Drosophila melanogaster: one gene and its partners. The protein of the gene in region 1 purifies or fractionates together with the protein of each later gene. This does not show direct contact. Each region holds a gene or a part of one and is shown in the gene's direction. Other genes may lie near its edges. The genes, in order: yki, Leash, ex and brm.

Region 1 (4,963 bases):
CCCAATCCCTATGCATGATGCTGTTCTCCAGTCTAAAGCGGAATACATTACTTAAGCGTATCCTTTGGGATAATTTGTAGCATGCATGGGAATCGGGACGATCGGGTAGTTGTGGAAAAGCCACTAAATGAACCGAATGTACTCACACCAACGAAGCATACCAATACCCGGAGGGGCATCAGGATGACGTAGCGGATGAAGAAGCCGAACACCCAGATGGAGGTGATTTTCCAGGAAATGAACTCGTAGTGCCTATTGGTGCGTGTCAGCATGTTCCAGCTCTTGAGCTCCTCCGCCTCGAAGCGCGACGTAACATCGTCCTCGATGATGGCCTCCACGCCAGACTTTACGTAGTCCAGGCATTTCTCAAAATCGAAATTGATTTCATCCTGCAAATGGGAAATGTTGTTTAAATCAGGTGCCCATTGCAATGCCGGACTCCTTACCTTTGTGGAGGAAACTGGCTTCTCTGGAGCGGGCTCCTGTGGCTGGGGCAGGAGTACCGCGTCCCTGGTAATCAATGTGGCTCCATTGGTGCCTTCTTTGGAATCGGCGTCGTCCACTAGTTGCACTCCCTGTTTGTCGTCAGTCTTGGGATTTTGAATGTGTTGGTTTTCTTTGGATGCTGTCTCTATACTAACTCGACCATACTGAAAGTAGAGGTGATTAGTTGTTAACGAGTCGAATCGGGGATTATCTGCAGATAAGATTATCGCAAGCATATCGTCGGACGAGGTAATGACTGGCACTTTACAAGTGTCTGGGAAGCGGCAACTTGGGTGCACTGGCGCACTCCTGCCCCGCAGATTCCTTGAGGATAGCCGAAGAATCTACTTAAAGCTTCCGGGCAAGCAATAGTTTCTCGAACTCGCCTGCATTGCAGTAATTGCGTAGGGCAGACGTAGTATGGCGTACTCCAAAAGCTGACTATATTTATGGACTTTGGAATAGCTTAACTATTGGTAAGACAGCACCATTTGCAAAGCCACCGCAGCAGTGGAGCACCTCAAATCGGTGCTTACTCATCTGAGGAACGAAAGCAAGCAATATTTACCTCGAATATCCTTAGGAGGAGGTTCACGTACGCTTTTCGGACGCCGATTGATTTGTTTATGGCGGAAATAAATATGAGAAATGAGAGGAAGCCCCCGATGGGGATCCAGAATATGTCCAACAGCACGGCGATCATTTTACATTTGTGTCATGCGACATTAGTTATTGTTAAGCGAAAAATGCCTCCGAATTGTGTCGTGCCAATATATACAATGTTAAAATACTTTTTGCTGTAGACCGAACTAGCGATGGACCTTGACTGTGTCAAAAACCTGTCTCGTGCTCACAGACCTGGCCCGCGCTCATCTCTACGGGGAACAAACGGAAAGGGGACGATTCCGGTCGGGCAGGAGACGGAACGGCTTCTTGTTCCACTGCCAATCGTTTTGAAAAGGGTTGAATGAACGTGCACTGAAAACAAAAAGGCACATTTACATTCAGATTATATTGTTATTGGGTATGTGTTTTTGACAGACCTTTACCTGCACTTATTACTTAAATCAACAAGGCACATTTACAATCAGTTTATATTGTTATTGGGTGTGTTTTTGACAGACCTTTGCCTGTACTTATTTTCACTAAACAAAATGTTATAAACCAATAAATAATAATTGTTAGTCTAATAATTTATAGTCTGATATTATGGAACACAAGTGTGTGGGCTATACACACACCATAATTTAATATCTACTTTGTTTTGTGCCTTATTAATTACAAAATATAGAATAAATCTTTAGCTATAGCTAAAGGAAATCGACAAAAGTCGTAATCGGCTTGCGGAATACCCCTGGCATTCCGCAGGTGCAGCCACGAAGCCGATTACATGAGGAACGCTAGTATCGGAATGGACAAGTGGACGGGGATAGCCATCTGGCAACACTGGGATAAATTTATTTTATGTTGGCAGTTCCGTAATTATTATTATTACTATTATTTATTGCAACGAAGTTTAGTTTTTAACACCTTAATGTTATAGTTTCGCGCAGCGCGATGGAGTGATACGTATATGGAAGAACATATATGTGCGCGTGCCTAATCGCTAAGATAATTCTATGTAGTTTTCGTTTGTATACAATAAGTGCCTTTTATATGTTAACGACGATGTCAGCCAGCAGCAATACAAACAGCCTGATCGAGAAGGAGATCGACGACGAGGACATGCTTTCGCCGATCAAGTCCAACAACCTGGTGGTGCGGGTCAACCAGGACACGGACGACAACCTGCAGGCGCTATTCGACAGCGTCCTGAATCCGGGTGACGCCAAGCGCCCGCTGCAGCTGCCCCTGCGCATGCGGAAGCTGCCCAACTCCTTCTTCACGCCCCCGGCGCCCTCGCACTCGCGGGCCAACAGCGCCGACTCCACCTACGACGCGGGCTCCCAGTCGAGCATCAACATCGGGAACAAGGCGTCCATCGTCCAGCAGCCAGATGGCCAGTCGCCCATCGCCGCCATCCCCCAGCTCCAGATTCAGCCGTCTCCCCAGCACAGCCGCCTGGCGATACATCACTCCCGAGCCCGCAGCAGCCCCGCCTCGCTGCAGCAGAACTACAATGTGCGCGCCCGGAGCGACGCAGCAGCAGCCAACAATCCGAATGCCAATCCGAGCAGCCAACAGCAGCCCGCTGGGCCCACTTTCCCAGAGAACAGTGCCCAAGAGTTCCCCAGCGGCGCCCCGGCCAGCTCGGCCATTGATCTGGACGCCATGAACACCTGCATGTCGCAGGACATTCCCATGTCCATGCAGACAGTGCACAAGAAGCAGCGCTCCTACGACGTCATCAGCCCCATTCAGTTGAACCGCCAACTAGGCGCCTTGCCGCCGGGATGGGAGCAAGCCAAGACCAATGATGGCCAGATCTACTACTTGAAGTGAGTTTGGGCAGATTTTAAAAATGATATGCATGAAGCTTTATTTAATACGTGTCTTCTTTATGAACTTATGAAAACTAAAATATTCTTGTGAGTCACAGAAATCTCATTGGCTTCGTTGGATGTCTTTCAAGTTTATCTCTTAATCATTACTAGCTCAACTAATACCCAAAACAGCAATCTCAACAATGGTGTTCTCTCTACTTGCAGTCATACTACAAAATCTACGCAGTGGGAGGATCCCAGAATCCAATATCGCCAGCAGCAGCAAATCTTGATGGCCGAGCGAATAAAGCAGAATGGTAGGTTCTATCTTAGATGTAATGCCTTAGATAAGCAAGTCGTTAACTGCCTGTGGCTGCGTCTCATTGTTAACCCACTTAAATCAGCCATCAGAGGACTAATTAATGCTAGAGACCAGGCAGGGATAAGATAGGCTCTAACTCATTCCAACTAACGCATGAACAGCACAGTACACAACCGATTTCAGGGAGTCCATTCCGTCCATTTTGAGCGCGCCAATGCACTTTTCGGGATTGGGTTGGAGTCTGATCATTTTGGCATTCGGAAGTGGGAGCTCGATTGGATTTGCTTTGAGCATACTCCAATTGATTTTGATATGTGCTGCATGCTGGGCGCCAGTGCCCCTCCGTTCTCATCCGCTTACACACTGCAGCATTACGTTGAAGACATATTTTAATTTGTTTTTATTTACTTTGGTTTGTAATTCATTGTTTTTGTTCGATAGATGTTTTGCAAACTACAAAACAAACTACCACATCGACCATTGCTAACAATTTGGGTCCACTGCCGGATGGTTGGGAGCAGGCAGTTACCGAGTCCGGAGATCTTTACTTTATAAATCACATTGATCGAACGACTTCATGGAATGATCCCAGAATGCGTAAGTCTCGTTCCACCACCCCGACTAGCGTAAGACAACGAGACACACAGATATCGTAGCGATATCGCTAGATAACATTGAGTGCGCAGTGGGCGGGGGGCCGATCACGTAATTCCCATGGCATCTCTGCTTTCACTATATAGTATAGTACTGATCTTGAGATAGAGGCCGAACACTCCACACTCCTTATCGCTCCATGCCTCGCCTTTACTAACTTAACGCCTTCCCTTACCGTGTATCTTTGCAGAATCTGGGCTTAGCGTGCTCGACTGCCCAGATAACTTAGTGTCTTCCCTCCAGGTAAGCATTCGCAGTTGCCGACCGCCGAGTTGGCGAACCGAGTTCCACGCCACTACCTCACTTTGCCCACTTTACGCTTTCAGATTGAGGATAATCTTTGCAGTAACTTGTTCAATGACGCACAGGCCATTGTAAATCCGCCGTCTTCCCACAAACCTGACGATTTGGAATGGTATAAAATTAATTAATTCAATGTATACATCTGTATTAGACCTAAAAGTTTTATATTTTGTATTATTCTAAATTAAATATTTTTCAAATTTTATAGTATTTCTTTACATAAACGAATTTGTGTGTTTATCATTATTACTGGGCGCCTTGTTTCTGGGTTTTAAAGCTTCCGACGATCAGTGAACGCACTGATTGAAAAGAAGATATCTGATTCAGATGACTTTCGAACGCCGAAGAGAGAGTTCAGGTGGATGAAAGGTGTGGTCAGCAGCGATGACTCATGCCGAAACCCGAATACCCCGACTATTGTAAAGTGCAAGCCAAGTAACCAAGTAACCAGAATGCGGCGTGCATTTGGACCAGAATGCACGCGATTCATGAGCTTCATTGAGTTCGATCTGTGACCGACCCAGCAGATTCAGCTTTACGTGGAGCCAAAGACATCCATGCTCATCGGTGTCATTCGCTTGCGAATCTGTTCGCGTTCGCTCTTTATCAATGCTTACCCATGAGTCACTTTTGCAAATATTCTTCTAATTTAGCATGAATTACTTATTTTCGTGATGTCAAGCTAGTCATCGTTTGAATTCTTTCAACAGCTTTCATAGATGATAAGAGTTGGACTTGGGTTTTTCACCACAGCTTTGTTTCAAGGAAATGAAAA
Region 2 (4,628 bases), on another chromosome or scaffold:
TACTGCCGGGTATGTAATTCAATTATGCATTTAGTTTAATTGCCATTGACCTTGGACCTTTTGTGTGTTTCGGATGTAGAATTGTATTGGAAAATTGCTCAGCTACAAACAACTGTCTTTGTTAATGAACTAACAATAATTTAATCAGAAGCATAAAAAAAACGAATGCTACCTAATAAAGTTCACCATCAAATTAAAGCGCTGCTAAGGCTCGACTATTTGATACCCTAGGAAATATTTGATTATTTGAATTTGAACCGATGGCTAGGGTCCACTTAGCTTGCTAATGGGATTTGTATAAATTTATATATATATGTATATCTGCATGAATTACGCCTAATTGACCCAAAATGCTACCTATACACTACAATTTAAAGGTATTGGCACGAACGGGCTGACCAGTAACTGAATCAAATATCTAATAATACAAACAGCGTACGCAATTTCAAAACAAAACTAGTTTTTACGCCGCTATCAGATATCCGCCAGCCAGCCAAGCGGCCACATGTGTGTTGTATATAAACTTTATGTATACATACATATATGTACATTTGTATATACAATACACATCTTTCAAGCATATCTACCGGCAACAATAACATTAAACCAGCGGATAACAAAGCACCAACAATATTAAGTGGATATTTATTTATTAGTGGATGGTAAAACGGTATGGGATTCAGAATTTGAATGGTGATGGAGGGGGATGACGTCATGGTTTCGAGTCCATTAGAATACATATGTATGTAGTGCGTCTTCTTCCGCATGTCGGTGTCACTTACATCGAATCGTCTTGGGGCGCTCCGTAATCAGTTCCGCCGTGCCGGAGATAAGCTGACCGGCTTGATAGAGCCCCAAAGGATTGCTGTCGAAGACGAAGTTCACCTTGCTGCTCATCCTGTCCAGAATTGGCTCCTTGGCGACGGTGTCGGGTGGTATCGCGCTATCAAGTTCCTTTGTTTGTTTTATTGATAGTTGGTGGAAGAGGTAGGGATTCGATGTATTCGAGGGTTCCGGCGACTCAGCTCGCAAGCTCCGAACGCGAGCAGCTCTGGCTTAATACTGAATTCTCAAAAGTCTTTGGTGAGACCGAAGAACCGAGAAGCAAACTTTTGTGCGCGAGAGGTTACAAGAAGAAGAAGCGAAGGACAGAACGGGGAAGCACACGAAATACTATATGGAGCATTATGCTGCTAAGCCAACTAAAGTTTAATCTTAATAAAATATGTATGTATGCTTCAATCATCGCTGACATCTAAGCTGAGCGTTTTGTTATCTATACAGTAAAATATTTGGTAATTATTATTCGTAGTGAAATATATCAACTTAAATTATTGGCGATATTCAAACAGAGAGTTTCTTCTTCTCTTTTCAAACATCAAACCATAAAAAAAGACCATTACTACCAAGCATTTCTGAACTCTTGCATTACAACTGAAAACAGTGCATTTAAGAAACGCTGTTTAGAACTTAAACTTTAAATTAGACACATTTGAAAATACCGATTAAAAAGTCTGCGAATTAACCGCTTCAGCTGGCCAGGCGCCCGGTGGCAGCACCGCGCAACAGCTGTTCGTGCTATCGGACCGCCGCTCTCACGGTTATCGAAAGAGAGCTGCAGCTACAACAAAAAAGCGTAACTCACGGATCTCGTAAATTTATAAGAAATTTAATTATTCAACCCGCCAGCGGACGACAGCAATCGAATTAAATTAGCCCGGGGTGTGCGACCAACACTTGTGGGCCATTGCGAATTGATGGATATCGAGATTCCCCAAGAACTGGCCACAATCAGCGCGAAAAAGCTCCCACTCACCGCGCGGTGTGTGTAGTAACATCAAATCGTAAATCGTGAGGCGAGTGCGTGTGGTGGTGCTACTATTCTGCATATACTTTAGGGTGGTGCGGGCCGTGGTGCTGCAGTGCATCCATGTACGTTTGTATGTGGCGGCATTTTGATGACGAAATTATTTTTGGATAAGTGCGTGAGGAAAGTGGCCAAACCGGAGGAGTCATCACCATCAACGCCAGCGGAATGGAAAGCGAGCGGCTGCGAATCACGCTGGACAGCGCGGATCGGGTTTACTTTGCGGGCGACATAATTCGCGGCGAGATCTGGATGAACGTCAACAAGCGCACCAAAATACGCGGTAAGTGCCAGTCGAGCATAACTTGCCGCTTCCTGGAATGCACATCTCAAAGCTCGGCTTGCATCATCCATGACTCAGCTGTAGACACGCAGAGAAAGTGTTTCAAAACCCTACATTTAACGTTAGGCTCTTAGTTTATGATTCTGGGTATTGTTTACATGTGTACATATAGATCGTATTACCGAAAAGATTTAGCTTAGATATAGTAATCTAATATTAACAAAGATGGTTTTCTGCACAACCCATCATGTACTCCACAAATAGAAATGTGCTTTTTTCTGTTTTGTCAGCGGTTTGCAATCCATTGTCCGCCCGATGGTCAGCTGGACTTTCGTTGCGGCCCCATTCGCATAAACAAAGAACTCCATCAGTTAACAAAGCACAGCGGCCATTTTATGGGGCTTCCTCCCCCTCCGCTTCACCGCAATTTCGAGATTCTTGCTCGCAAATTCCTCTAATTGCCTTCGGCGCTCGCCTTTCATTCATCGATAAGCTTTCAATTGCCGCCCGTTGCAATTGCAATTGAATTTCTTTTCGTTCTTCACGATTCTTGAGTACTGGCATTTGTTTCAGGAAATGCCAACCCAAACGCATCGCGCGAGAGGGGAGTGTAGACGGTGGGGGCATGTGCGAAGAGAGGCACACTCAGTTGGCGTGCCGAAAAAGCCGTAATATTGGGCCAAGCGCAAGTCGGGTCTAAATGAGAGAGAGGTGAGAGGGCGCTCGCAGCACAGTGGTGGCCACAAAGGGGTTTATATAGGTTTTTTTTTTTAATTATCCAGAAATAAGATTCCCAGTAATGGTATATTCCGAAGTATAGTGTTTAAAAGGCAAACAGCTATCTCCATTTTATTATGAAGTATACCTTTAAAACAATAAGTGGTTTATTGAATTTTTTATAAATGACTTAAAGAATTTTAAATCTGACATAATTGGGCGCCCTTGACTGTACAAGCGCCTCTCTGTTGTGATTTGCCACTATACAGGTGTGCGTGAGAACAGCAGCTGGTCCGTGCATGTGTGAGTAAGAGAGCGCGAGACTAAACGGGAGCGCCACACTATCCCATATTTTTTAGAAATTAATGCGCTACGCGATAAAATGAAGGGCATTTGGGTGTCATGAGGTGAAGCTAAAAGTGTTGGCTTCACGCATGGGGCCAAGGGTTTGTGGACATTGCCTAAAAATAGATCGACGGCTGTCCGTTAACTGCCCAAAAGTCAAAGTCGGCTGTTATCAGCGCATATATATATATATTTATATATATAAAAAACGCGATTTATTATCAGAGCACAGAATACGAGTACAAAAATATGTTTATACAAAAAAGGGGGGAGCTGCAAGACATGCTCATGAGGGGAATGATATCTGTGGAAGAAGGAATACATGACAGCTGCTACTGTGTAAGGCTTCGCAATTACATTAATTATACGCCTGTTCCTCTTAACCGGCCCACAAACATACATATTTCATACGTATTCATTTATATATATCTAAATATATTATGCACTTAATTGAACACAGCAGTTTATCGTTAGTTTGTGCACATTGGATGTAATTTCGGGGTTGCTCCATTACGCATTTATGCGGTCGTTGAGGAAAAGCTCCATCATCGGCCAGATCTCCTTTGTCTGTTTTCCCTTGAAAGTGGCAACCAGACCCTTCTTTTCGTACCAGGCTATTACCGGGCTCATCACCTCATCGTAGAGCTCCAGTCGCTTGGCCACCACATGGGGTTTATCATCTTCGCGTTGCATCAGCGGCTCCCCCGTCACATCATCTTTGCCAGGCACTTTGGGATTCTTGAAGCCAATATTGTACACCCTGCCGGAGGGCGCATGGATCCAGCGATTCTTGACCCGGTCGATAATCACACTATGTGGAACGTCCAGCGTGATCACGGCATCGATTTGCTCGCGTGCAGCCAGTGCCTCGGCCTGGGCTATATTGCGCGGGAATCCGTCTAGGATGTACGACCTGTTGCCTACCTCGGTTATCCGGGCCAGCATCGTCTTGGTCACAATCGCGTCGGGCACCAGTTTACCTTCAGCAATGTACTGCTTGGCCTTTTTTCCAAGTTCTGTGTTTTTTATGATGTTCTGGCGCAGAATGTCCCCCGTGGAGATGTGCACACATCCATGGTTCTTGCAGATCAATTCCGAAATAGTTCCTTTGCCCGAGCCGGGGGCTCCGATTATCACAGCGCGAAAGATTTTCGTAAACATGTCTAAGCTCTAGTTCTTCAACCTCTCCTTGAGCTGCAAGACAAAAAATTGAATTGATACATGGTTAAATTTAATATGATATGATAAAAAAATTCGGTTTATCTATTTAATATAGGATCTGTTTTTATATTTTGATTTAGGGTCAATAACATATAATCTTGGCAGTAAAACCAAAATTATTTCAGTTGACCATACTCGACTACTTTTATGGGCGATAAGACTATCAAGCACGCCACAATTGTTTGATACAGAGGT
Region 3 (4,874 bases), on another chromosome or scaffold:
AAGAGGATCAATGGCAGCTGCTCTTGGCTGAAAGATCACTTTGCCAAAAAAAAAGGCCAGAAATGCGCGCCAATTCCGCAAAAGCGATTCTCTGGACCGGGAGACTGGAGACTGAAATCGACTTCAAGGAATTGCATAAAACATTTTTGGCCGTTCTTTTTTTATTTTTTCACTCTCCTCGCTCAAAACTTCGGCCTCGACCAGGCTCCAAACCTCGCACACACACAAGCACAGATATAGAACGTATGTATATCTACACGATATTGACCAAGAACGTAGTTCCCAAAAGGCTGCTTACAGCAACAACAACAACCGGTCTTAGAGAACCAGCGACCAAGCGATCGACCAAAGACGAAAGAATAACGAACAGCCACAAAACAAAAAAAAAAAACAAGAATGAAAAGCTTGGGCTTCAAGTCGAAGATGGAAGTACTCTAGATCTCTTGTAGTCAGACTGATCCGGTGGGTAACAAACTACCTTTACTCAAATTCCCTTACACCATAGGCTTGTCAATAGAGAAATTTTCAAAATTTGTCCCAGGAGTGGCATGTACTTTTTTTGAAACCTACAAACCTTTTTTAATTCTTCCCGTTGTATCCCAAACAGGGTATAGCAGACACCACAACGCAAAGTACACTCAAAGAAATCAAAGGCTGTGCGAGTTGTTCCCATCGAAACCCCGCCTCACCGGAATGTCTCGCCCAATTTCTACCCCTGCCCCACCACTTCCCTGACTTCAGTCAACAAGTTATGTCCATGGCAAGACGACCCGACCCCGACCCCTTGACTCTCCAATTCTGAGTCTTCGACTTTTGGCCGGGTCTTCAGGGGCGTAGCGAGGGTTTGGCACCGGGGCACAACTTCGATCATCATTATATAGTCTTTTGGTTGTGTTTAGTTACGATTTTTATATCATTTAGACTTTTTTCCATATAATCTAAATTTTGTTTTCTGTGGATTTTTCTAAGTAGCCCCTTGGACGAACTGGTTAAAACCTTACTTGGCTTACACTGATCCCCGCCCTTTCGTGGGGCGTGTGTATGCCGCATATTTGAAGCAAATGATGGTTGAAGAGGTGGAGGAGGGGAAATGAAAAGGAGGAAATCTAAAGAAGAGAAAAAGAGGGAAGAGGGAGCAAAAAGAATCCAGCAAATCAAGCTCACATTATGCTGAGGAATGCGCCCAAGTGACGATATCGTAGCAGCAGAGGACGCCGATAGAGGCAGAGTCTTCAGACCCTCAAGTTCCGATTCCGATTCTCCCTCGTCCAGTGCATCTGTATCTGGAGTTTTGCCCAGAGAGTTTATTTATAAGATAGTCGCATCGATGGCTAGCGCAGGGATACTGAAAGCTAGATTTGAATCCAATAGGCTTCCGCCATAGTTTGGCAAAAAGTGAATGCCAAAAGATAGAACTCATAATGTAATTGTAATATACAATGTAAACTACAAGATAGCATGTGATAAAAAGCAGAATTAGAAAGAAAGGTACCTTTGTTAAAATTCTCATATGCATTTTACTTAAATCTGCTATCCTAACAGGGTATCCTTTAAGCCCTTGAGAATCGGAATCGTCGTCTCGCGAGATAAGCCATTGGAATTCCACTACTCACACGGACGCACACACTATGTAGTTGGCTACTGGGATTCTCCTTTGAAGTTTGTTTTTCTTTTATTGCTTATTGCTATTTACATTTTCGTAGCCGTTGTTGTTGTTGCCATCGGGTTTGTGTATCGCTGTGTGCGCTTCTTTCGAATTCGAATTCTCTCTTGGGCTCTCTTTTCGTTAAACGCGGCTTCGTTAAGTTTTAACGAAATCTCGACTCGATCTTCGTTGTGTTCGGTTTCGCTGAGCAGGGGCAAAATCAGTATATCGCTAAACGTCAACGGTAACCGAACAGATCGTCGGGACAGCAAAGCATGTGCTTTCCACTGGGAAATATAAATTCGGTTTAATGAATTTATTCGAGACCTAACATTCGGAAAAGTTGTTCTTCAGATCTTAAATGCACACCGCACGCACACCAGATCGCCCAGACACACACAGAGCTACACAGATTCAGTTGCTTAAAGTGAAGTTCGGTTTTCACTGAAACAAAAACAGCGCGCTTCGTTTTCGCACTCGCCTCAATTACAAAAGTGATTTTTGTTGGTGTTGGTGCAACTAGTTCTGATTTTGGGAAAACGCGCCTTAAAACCACGAAAATATCTACGACTAGTAGTGTAAAAAAGCTGAAGTCAACTCCGAAAAGTTGGTGCTGGTCAAAAAGAAAAAATTCAGCCGCAACAACAACTGCCCACTGGAAACTACAACTACAACAAATAAAGCAGTCAGCAACAGCAAAAACAACAACCCAGCAAACGGCATTCTTTCGCGCAACAACAACGACTCCACGCACACAGATACTCTCAGTTGCGCTCGCCCGCGTGTGCAATTGTTCTGGTGTTAGTGAGTTTTGATTAAAGTATGTGCGACGCTGGAATGCGACCCGATCGCTGTTGACTGCGCAGTCGCAGCGCGCGTCGTGGAAGTGGAAGAGGTCAGAAAGTAACAACAACGAAACGAAAATTTTACTGTTAGGCACTTATCGATAGCCAAATCAATAGATCGGTTTTAAGAGTGCACGAAGAGTGAGCTTTAGTTAAACAAAACTACCAAACCAAAATTAAAAAGCCAGTTATTGTGGATTACGCGAAACCGAAACAGAAGCAGATACAGATACAGCATTAACAATGCCGACTTCTGCAGCGGCTTAAGGTAAGAAAAGGACAGATACACGTGCAGATATAGAGTGGTGTACCCATATGGGGCCATTTCCCCGGAATTTTAATGACTCCCTGAAAACGGCAAACAAAACAAATGCCAGCAAATTTCTTATCTGTCAACCATAAAATCGCCAACGTCCAACGATTGTTTAACATTTCGTTGTTGTCGCCAGCTTTTTTCTTTAAATTTTTTTTTTTGCGTCCCGCTAAGAGTCAAAAATTCAGCGAATTGTGCAATTAACCCATTTCGGGCCATGGAATATCAAATGTCAGTCAAACTTGACACTCTACGGAGGGTATATTGAAATGGGGAAGCTGTTTAGAGTACTATTGTGTCAAATATATATGTACATTCACATGTGCATACATATGTAGTTATATAGTAGGCCTGACCGACTTTTTAAATACCGGTCACATTTAATTAATTTTTTTTGACATTTTCTATGCGGCCCTAAAGTATCTTTGCACAGGGTTTCACTTATCTCGGGATCCAATTTCCAAGTGAGCTAGTCAATTTGATAGGTTCTATGGCTAATAGGCGACTTAAACGGTTGTCAGAACGATCGACGGCGATGCAATTAAGTGAAAATGGAAGCTCCACAGAGTTCTATTGTTATTCCCGGGTTTGGAATTTCAACCGTCCATCGGGATCCCTGGAACAATTGCTGAAATCAGAAACCGCTTGGCAATCAGACATCTTGAATGTAAATCAGCGAAAGATAAACAAACGGGTGAAAACACACGCTTTGGGTATCAGTCGATAAGCTTTAAGCGGTTAAACGCTAATCGTTAAACGATTTTGCCACCAGGCAATCATATACATATGGGTAACTGTATCTGCGGACAGACGTATCTATATCTCGGCAAGTACACATGTATTCCCCGGATCGTAGTTTTAGTTCGCTTGTGGTTTTTTCGATTGAGCACTGACGTCTACATCTCCATCTCCGTGCGTATCTCTTGATCTCCACATCACACTTGACCTCAGGCAATGGGCTTTTGCATTGAAGCTGACAACAGCAACAGCAATGATCATACAAACTCAAAATATTAATTTCGTAAACTGAAATTCCTGCACGCAGTTGATATGCGTGTGCGAACATTGAAAACTCTGGTTGCTCATTGCCTCGAACAATTCAGGCAATTAAAATGTACAACAAATTAAACAAATTTCGAATGACAATCGGAGTCGAGGCTGGCTCAGAGATATAGAGGATACACTAATGAACGACCTTCGAGGATTAAAAAAATGTACTTATCTCTATGCTCGTAAAAAAATATTGTTTCAACAACATATTGCCAGATAGGCAAAAACTTAAAAGCCTCTTTACTTAGAATTGGTCAAAGAATTATTCTAGCCATAATCAAAATACCTTAAACTTTAGAATTATTGGTTACTCGTATTATAGCGCATTCATTTAACCCAAGATACCCTGTATGGACTGCTAATTTTTCTACGGTATTATGGCAGCATAGTTTCGCACGCCTCCGATTTGGCATGCGGCACACGTTGCGGCTTCTTTTTTGTTTTTGTATCTTGCTGTTTGCTGCTCTCATTGTGGAGGCCATCGCCTCCGCCACCGTTACCACCTTCGTTCGCCCAGTTGGGCATTTCGCGTCTGCGGGGTGTGGTGCGCAGTGGAGGAGAGTGGTGCGATGTGGTGCGATTTTGTGGTGCCTAGCCAACTGAAGCCGAGCGACGACGTGTGGGCTGCTTTCTTTTGGCCCACTCCGCCCTGGCTGCTCCTCACAGCTATCCAGCCAACCGAGCAAGCGACCATTTTCATTATTATCATCGGCGGTCGGCGGGGACATTTCACGCATTTCAAAGACATCAAATTGTTTGGCCATAACTGGCACAACAAGTGGAATTCCGCAGCTCGGAATTCGGCATTTGCCGCTTTGCTGTTTTATTTCTCAGTCGCTTGTTCCCTGATTTCTGTTTTCTCCTATTCGATATTCGCAGTTTGGCAAAGAGACGACGAGTTATTTGGCGATTTGATGGCACACTAAGCCCGGCATACAGAAAACTGCTTTCATAATTACTTGCGATGATTTCAATTCAAAACAATATATATTATCCACATAATGCTTTAAAGGTGTCTGGA
Region 4 (4,628 bases), on another chromosome or scaffold:
ATGGATCTGGACAATCAGGAGAAGCGGGTGTTGCGATTCGGCCTGGCCGAGTGGTAACCATTGCATGAGTTTAATGAATTGTTTAATCCTATAATTTAATAATTATATTACTAGAAGTTATTACAAAGTTTCTTTCGGTTCGTGGATTTTTTGCGCAATCTGCAATTTGAAAAAAGCTGTTGACGTTCCCTAGCTGGCGATGCTTTGGACACACATTTTTTACACAGGGATCTGGGGGTCTGAGGACTGGCTAAGTATCTACTTGCGACTCTGCAGGGTGTTGGACAGCCAGTCCATGGCCTGGTCGAGTCCCTCGCCCTTGGTGGCCGACGTTTTGAATATTTGAAATGTGCGGTTCTTTAGGTTCTCCAGTCCTAACGCATGATGGACCTCGGCGACGGTCATGCATCCGTCCATGTCCTGCTTGTTCGCCAGGACGACCAGTATCGCGCCGGCCAGCTCCTCCTCACGCAGCATGTACAGCAGCTCGTCCTTGGAGATGCCAATGCGGTCCCGGTCCGCCGAGTCCACCACATAGATGATTGCGTCCGTGTTGCTGTAGTAGCAACGCCAATAAGGTCTATAATGGAAATAGCACGAATTGAGATTAGGATTACCATTCTTAAAGGCCAAATAGATATATGTACGTAGCCTGCCTAAAGAAAGAACTATTAGCTATTTTAAGTTAAGTTGTGGATGCAGATGTTTCCTATCTTATCAGCTACAATTATAATGGCTTTTTGGAAACCCAAAAGGCTTACTAAACTACAACCGAAAATATGTCTTCTAGATATTAAATAAGACTTGGGTAATGCCATCACAATACTGCTCTCGTGTAACCAACTCACCTAATACTTGTCTGTCCGCCCAAATCCCAGACCTGGAACTTGAGGTTCTTGTAGGTGACCTGCTCCACGTTGAAGCCGATGGTGGGTATCGTGGTGACCACCTCGCCCACCTGCAGTCTGTAGAGGATCGTGGTCTTGCCGGCGCCGTCCAGGCCCAGGATCAAGATGCGCATCTCCCGGGAGCCGAGCAGTCCGCGAAAGTAGCTGAGCACCCCACCTGGAAGAAGAACGTATGATTTTTATGACCAGACTTCGTCACCGGGTGTCGCCGGAACGGGGAGGTTCCCCACGTCCATGCTCCGTGCTGTACAAACCCATGATTACGGCTGAACTTTGTCTAGTGCTGGCGCTGCCTCTAAATGCTTAAGTTTAGTAAACCTAGTTAATTGTATGTGGTGCTACAATTAATACAAAATCGCAGAAGTCTTGTTTTCACTTTTTTTTGGGCTGGAGAATGGTTTCGTTTTTGCCATTCGCAGGTCACGCGAACATGACGTGTCACAGCGTGCGTTCAGCACGAATATATTTTTGTAAAAAATAACATTTTAATAACTTTAAAAAAACGTTTAATATCATTAATTAAATTTAAATAAATACCATTTTAAGGAGTGCATACAGATTAATTATAAAAATATTCACAGTGACTTGTGCTGAACGCGCCCACCTTTATTGCCGGTTCACAGAGTTGCCACCCTTGCGTGACTTTTGTTATAGAGACGGCCGCCATTAGAGTTTTGCCGTCGCGTCGCGTTGTGAAAAGAGAAGAAAACCTTCTGAAAACAGTGCTAATAGGTAATACTTTCGGTGCCAAATGGAGCAATCCGATTGCGTTCTTCGCGTGCGATTAGCGTGCAGTTGATTTCGGCCGATTTGGCGTATCTTTAGCCGTTATTTTGGGTTTGCACCGGGCTGCGCGAAAAAGTGTGCCAAAAGAGGCACACAAAACGGTAGCTACGATTACATATCGTGGCTATAGCTTCTTTAATGTTGGTAAATACAGTGCATTGACGTGTGTTCCATCTGCAGATTAGGCTGCACCAGTTGCTGGATATCGCTATTGGATAAAGTCAAGAAAGGAGCTGCAATATGGCCTCGCCCTCTCCGGCGAACAGTCCCATGCCACCGCCACAGGCGCCCAGTCCGATGGCCCCGCCCTCGCAGAGTCCCGCCCCCTCGCCGCACAGCCCGTATCCGCACCAGCAGCCGGGTCCACTGCAAGGACCTCCGCCACCCGGACATCCCGGTGCCTACGGACATCCCATGCAGCACGGACCACCCGGCCAGGGTCCACCCGGGCATCATATGCCACCGCACCACCAGGGGATGAGTATGTTCTTAAACAACCCAACACCAATCGCTCCAGTCACACGTAATTATCCGTAGTTTTCTCAAAAGGTCCGCACATGGGAATGCAGATGCCGCCGACGGGACCGAACATGTCCCCCTACCAAACCCACGGAATGCCACCCAATGTAAGTGACCCCCAAGTCTAGCCGTAGGAATCAAAATAGTAAGCCTACTTAGATGTCTCAGTTCTCAAATCAAATCTATGCCATCTGGACAAACAGTAGCTCAGTGCAAACATTGAAAATATTTCCATCGATACTTTCAAAATTTTTATAATCAGTAATTAGCAAGTTTTTAAAATACTTAATACGTTTGTAAAAGATCCTATAAAATCTACATAGTATTCTAAACGGTAGATTAAGGATTTCTTTAAATTTCTTTATTTACTTTACTCTATATACAGATATGGGTACATAAATATCTAAATTCCATGTTAGACTAACATTTTTCTGAGGGATGCTATATGAAAAAGGTATAAACAATACGAAATTCGTGAAACTTTGTGAATAAGTATAGAAATACTAAATTTCCAAGTAGGTAATCTGTATATTAAGTTGTTTGCCAGCTAAATGCTTAAAATTATGGTATCATACGGTGTTGTTTTTCAAAGTCTCAAGATTGACGGGCTTTCCCGCCTTTTTGACGTGTATCGTGGAACAGCTGCCGGCGATTAAAGCTGGAATATATCCGAAAGCTCCCCATTAGCAGAGCTTCGAGCGCCAATTGGCAGTGCAGCTGACCCCAAGCTTTTCAATTAAGATCGTTGTTGCCTTGCCTAAATTACTTCTGCACCGGCTTCCCTCCCACGGACTCCTCCTGGTCTCCCTTACGCAGAAGGTCTTCGATCTCCTTGCGCAACTTCTCTGTGCCGGCGCAGATTAGATCCGGCTTCATTATGTCGAATGGTCCGCCAAAGGGATGTGTTACCACGCCTCCCGCCTCCTTAACCAACAGGGAGCCGGCGGCACAATCCCAGGGATACATGTCCTCAATGTAGAAGGCATCCAGATTGCCAGCGGCCACCATGCACAGCTCATCCACCACACAGGAGTAGGCAACAAGTCTGTGGATTTATGCAATATTTTGTAAGGGGTAATTTCTTTTTAAAAAGCTTTAAAATCTTTTTAATTATCTTCGAGAACAAAAGGCAATTAAAGCTTTTCATTTAGCAGTGACTGGTTAATTGCTTAGTACTCAGATACTTTTGTTTTGTTAATTTCACAGATTTTTACCCACTATATCAACGGGATTTAGTTTTGCGAAATAGATTCAAATTTATAAATGATTTACTTACCGTCTAGCATTCAATCCCACATGGTAGATCCTTTTGATATGCTTGTTGGCCACCGAATGGACATGCAGCAGGGACACTTCGTAGGCCACATTGGCATCCTTAACGCTCTCGCAGCTGCTCACGTGGATTGGTTTGCCATTGCAAAAGGCGCCTTGGCCCAGTTTCGTTGTGAAGAGCTTTTTCTGGACAGGATTGTTGATTACTCCCACTACGATTTGTTTGTTGATTGCCAAACCGATTGAAACGCAAACGTGTGGAATCTGCTTGATAAAGTTCGAAGTTCCATCGATGGGATCTATGATCCAGGTGGGAGCATTCGTCAGCTCTCCGGACACGTTGTTGTTCTTAGCCGTCTCCTCCTCGCCGATGAACTTGTGATCCGGGTATCTGGCCAATATTTTCTCCATGAGAAAGTCCTCAATCTTGTTGTCGTAGTCGGTGACCACGTCGTAGAAATCGCCTTTGATTGAGACGTTTTTACTGGCCATCTCGTAGCCCTCCATGAGGATCTCGCCCGCTTTGATGGCCAGGGGATGGATAAAGTTGTACAACTCCTCGATATCAGCTTGACTTACTCCTGCCATCTTGCTTCTATGCGTATTCCTTTGGGCAAAAAACGATCCGTCGCTGCTCAGCTCGCGATGTCAACTAATCGGAGAGATTGCACCCCACTGGGAGAAGCTCCACGCTCCGGCTGATTTTGTCTAGCTGGCGCTGGCGCTGGAGAAGTGCTTGCGGTTCGGTTACAATTCACTCGTTCTATGATTGTTTGCCTGCCTCGCGTTTTTATGATCGCTGCGACATCGCCCCATAGGGGTGTACTAAAAATTGGCAGCTCACCTGGCTGCGTGCCTCTGTTTTATCTCAATTGGTTTGATGTACACAAATAGACATACTCTTTTTTATCTCCACACAGACAGCCAGTCAAATAGTTGTAAAACCCGTTTTTATCAGCATTTTTCGACGCTCTCAGACTTTATTATTGGATGATTTACACACTCGAGCTGCAAGTCATAATACTCAGAGAAACCTTGCAGATATTATGTTAAAATTGATCGTAACTGTATTATAAAGATCAATCACTTGTCTTATAATCTTTAAACTTTGCTTTTATGCTTATCATTAAACATATTCGTATT

What was found.
Region 2: the proteins of yki (region 1) and Leash purify together in Drosophila melanogaster (affinity purification with western blotting; 3 studies listed by BioGRID, with this or other methods). This does not show direct contact.
Region 3: the proteins of yki (region 1) and ex purify together in Drosophila melanogaster (affinity purification with western blotting; 4 studies listed by BioGRID, with this or other methods). This does not show direct contact.
Region 4: the proteins of yki (region 1) and brm purify together in Drosophila melanogaster (affinity purification with western blotting; 3 studies listed by BioGRID, with this or other methods). This does not show direct contact.

Annotation. Positions count from the first base shown.
Region 1 is NT_033778.4:24,065,426-24,070,388, reverse strand, and holds yki (yorkie), read left to right. Parts: upstream 1-1,903; 5' UTR 1,904-2,073; coding exon 2,074-2,924; intron 2,925-3,134; coding exon 3,135-3,226; intron 3,227-3,672; coding exon 3,673-3,828; intron 3,829-4,075; coding exon 4,076-4,128; intron 4,129-4,211; coding exon 4,212-4,316; 3' UTR 4,317-4,414; downstream 4,415-4,963. Other genes in the region: Gpat4 (Glycerol-3-phosphate acyltransferase 4), read right to left, coding at 147-389, 447-650, 1,055-1,189. UniProt on the Drosophila melanogaster protein: Transcriptional coactivator which is the critical downstream regulatory target in the Hippo/SWH (Sav/Wts/Hpo) signaling pathway that plays a pivotal role in organ size control and tumor suppression by restricting proliferation and promoting apoptosis.
Region 2 is NT_033777.3:10,883,938-10,888,565, forward strand, and holds the start of Leash (leash), read left to right. Parts: upstream 1-1,602; 5' UTR 1,603-2,035; coding exon 2,036-2,150; intron 2,151-3,407; exon of another isoform or gene 3,408-3,722; coding exon of another isoform or gene 3,723-4,373; exon of another isoform or gene 4,374-4,406; intron 4,407-4,628. Other genes in the region: CG14696 (uncharacterized protein), read right to left, coding at 783-897; Ak3 (adenylate kinase 3), read right to left, coding at 3,723-4,373.
Region 3 is NT_033779.5:429,360-434,233, forward strand, and holds the start of ex (expanded), read left to right. Parts: upstream 1-1,867; 5' UTR 1,868-2,758; intron 2,759-4,874. UniProt on the Drosophila melanogaster protein: Activates the Hippo/SWH (Sav/Wts/Hpo) signaling pathway, a signaling pathway that plays a pivotal role in organ size control and tumor suppression by restricting proliferation and promoting apoptosis.
Region 4 is NT_037436.4:15,979,815-15,984,442, reverse strand, and holds the start of brm (brahma), read left to right. Parts: upstream 1-1,573; 5' UTR 1,574-1,640; exon of another isoform or gene 1,641-1,874; 5' UTR 1,875-1,934; coding exon 1,935-2,175; intron 2,176-2,231; coding exon of another isoform or gene 2,232-2,243; coding exon 2,244-2,320; intron 2,321-2,554; exon of another isoform or gene 2,555-2,975; coding exon of another isoform or gene 2,976-3,258; intron 3,259-3,489; coding exon of another isoform or gene 3,490-4,073; exon of another isoform or gene 4,074-4,343; intron 4,344-4,438; exon of another isoform or gene 4,439-4,628. Other genes in the region: PolD1 (DNA polymerase delta subunit 1), read left to right, coding at 1-57; Arl1 (ADP ribosylation factor-like 1), read right to left, coding at 259-580, 849-1,065, 1,163-1,166; CG17027 (uncharacterized protein), read right to left, coding at 2,976-3,258, 3,490-4,073. UniProt on the Drosophila melanogaster protein: Transcriptional regulator. Acts as a coactivator, assisting one or more dedicated transcriptional activators of ANTC and BXC homeotic gene clusters. Can counteract the repressive effect of Polycomb protein.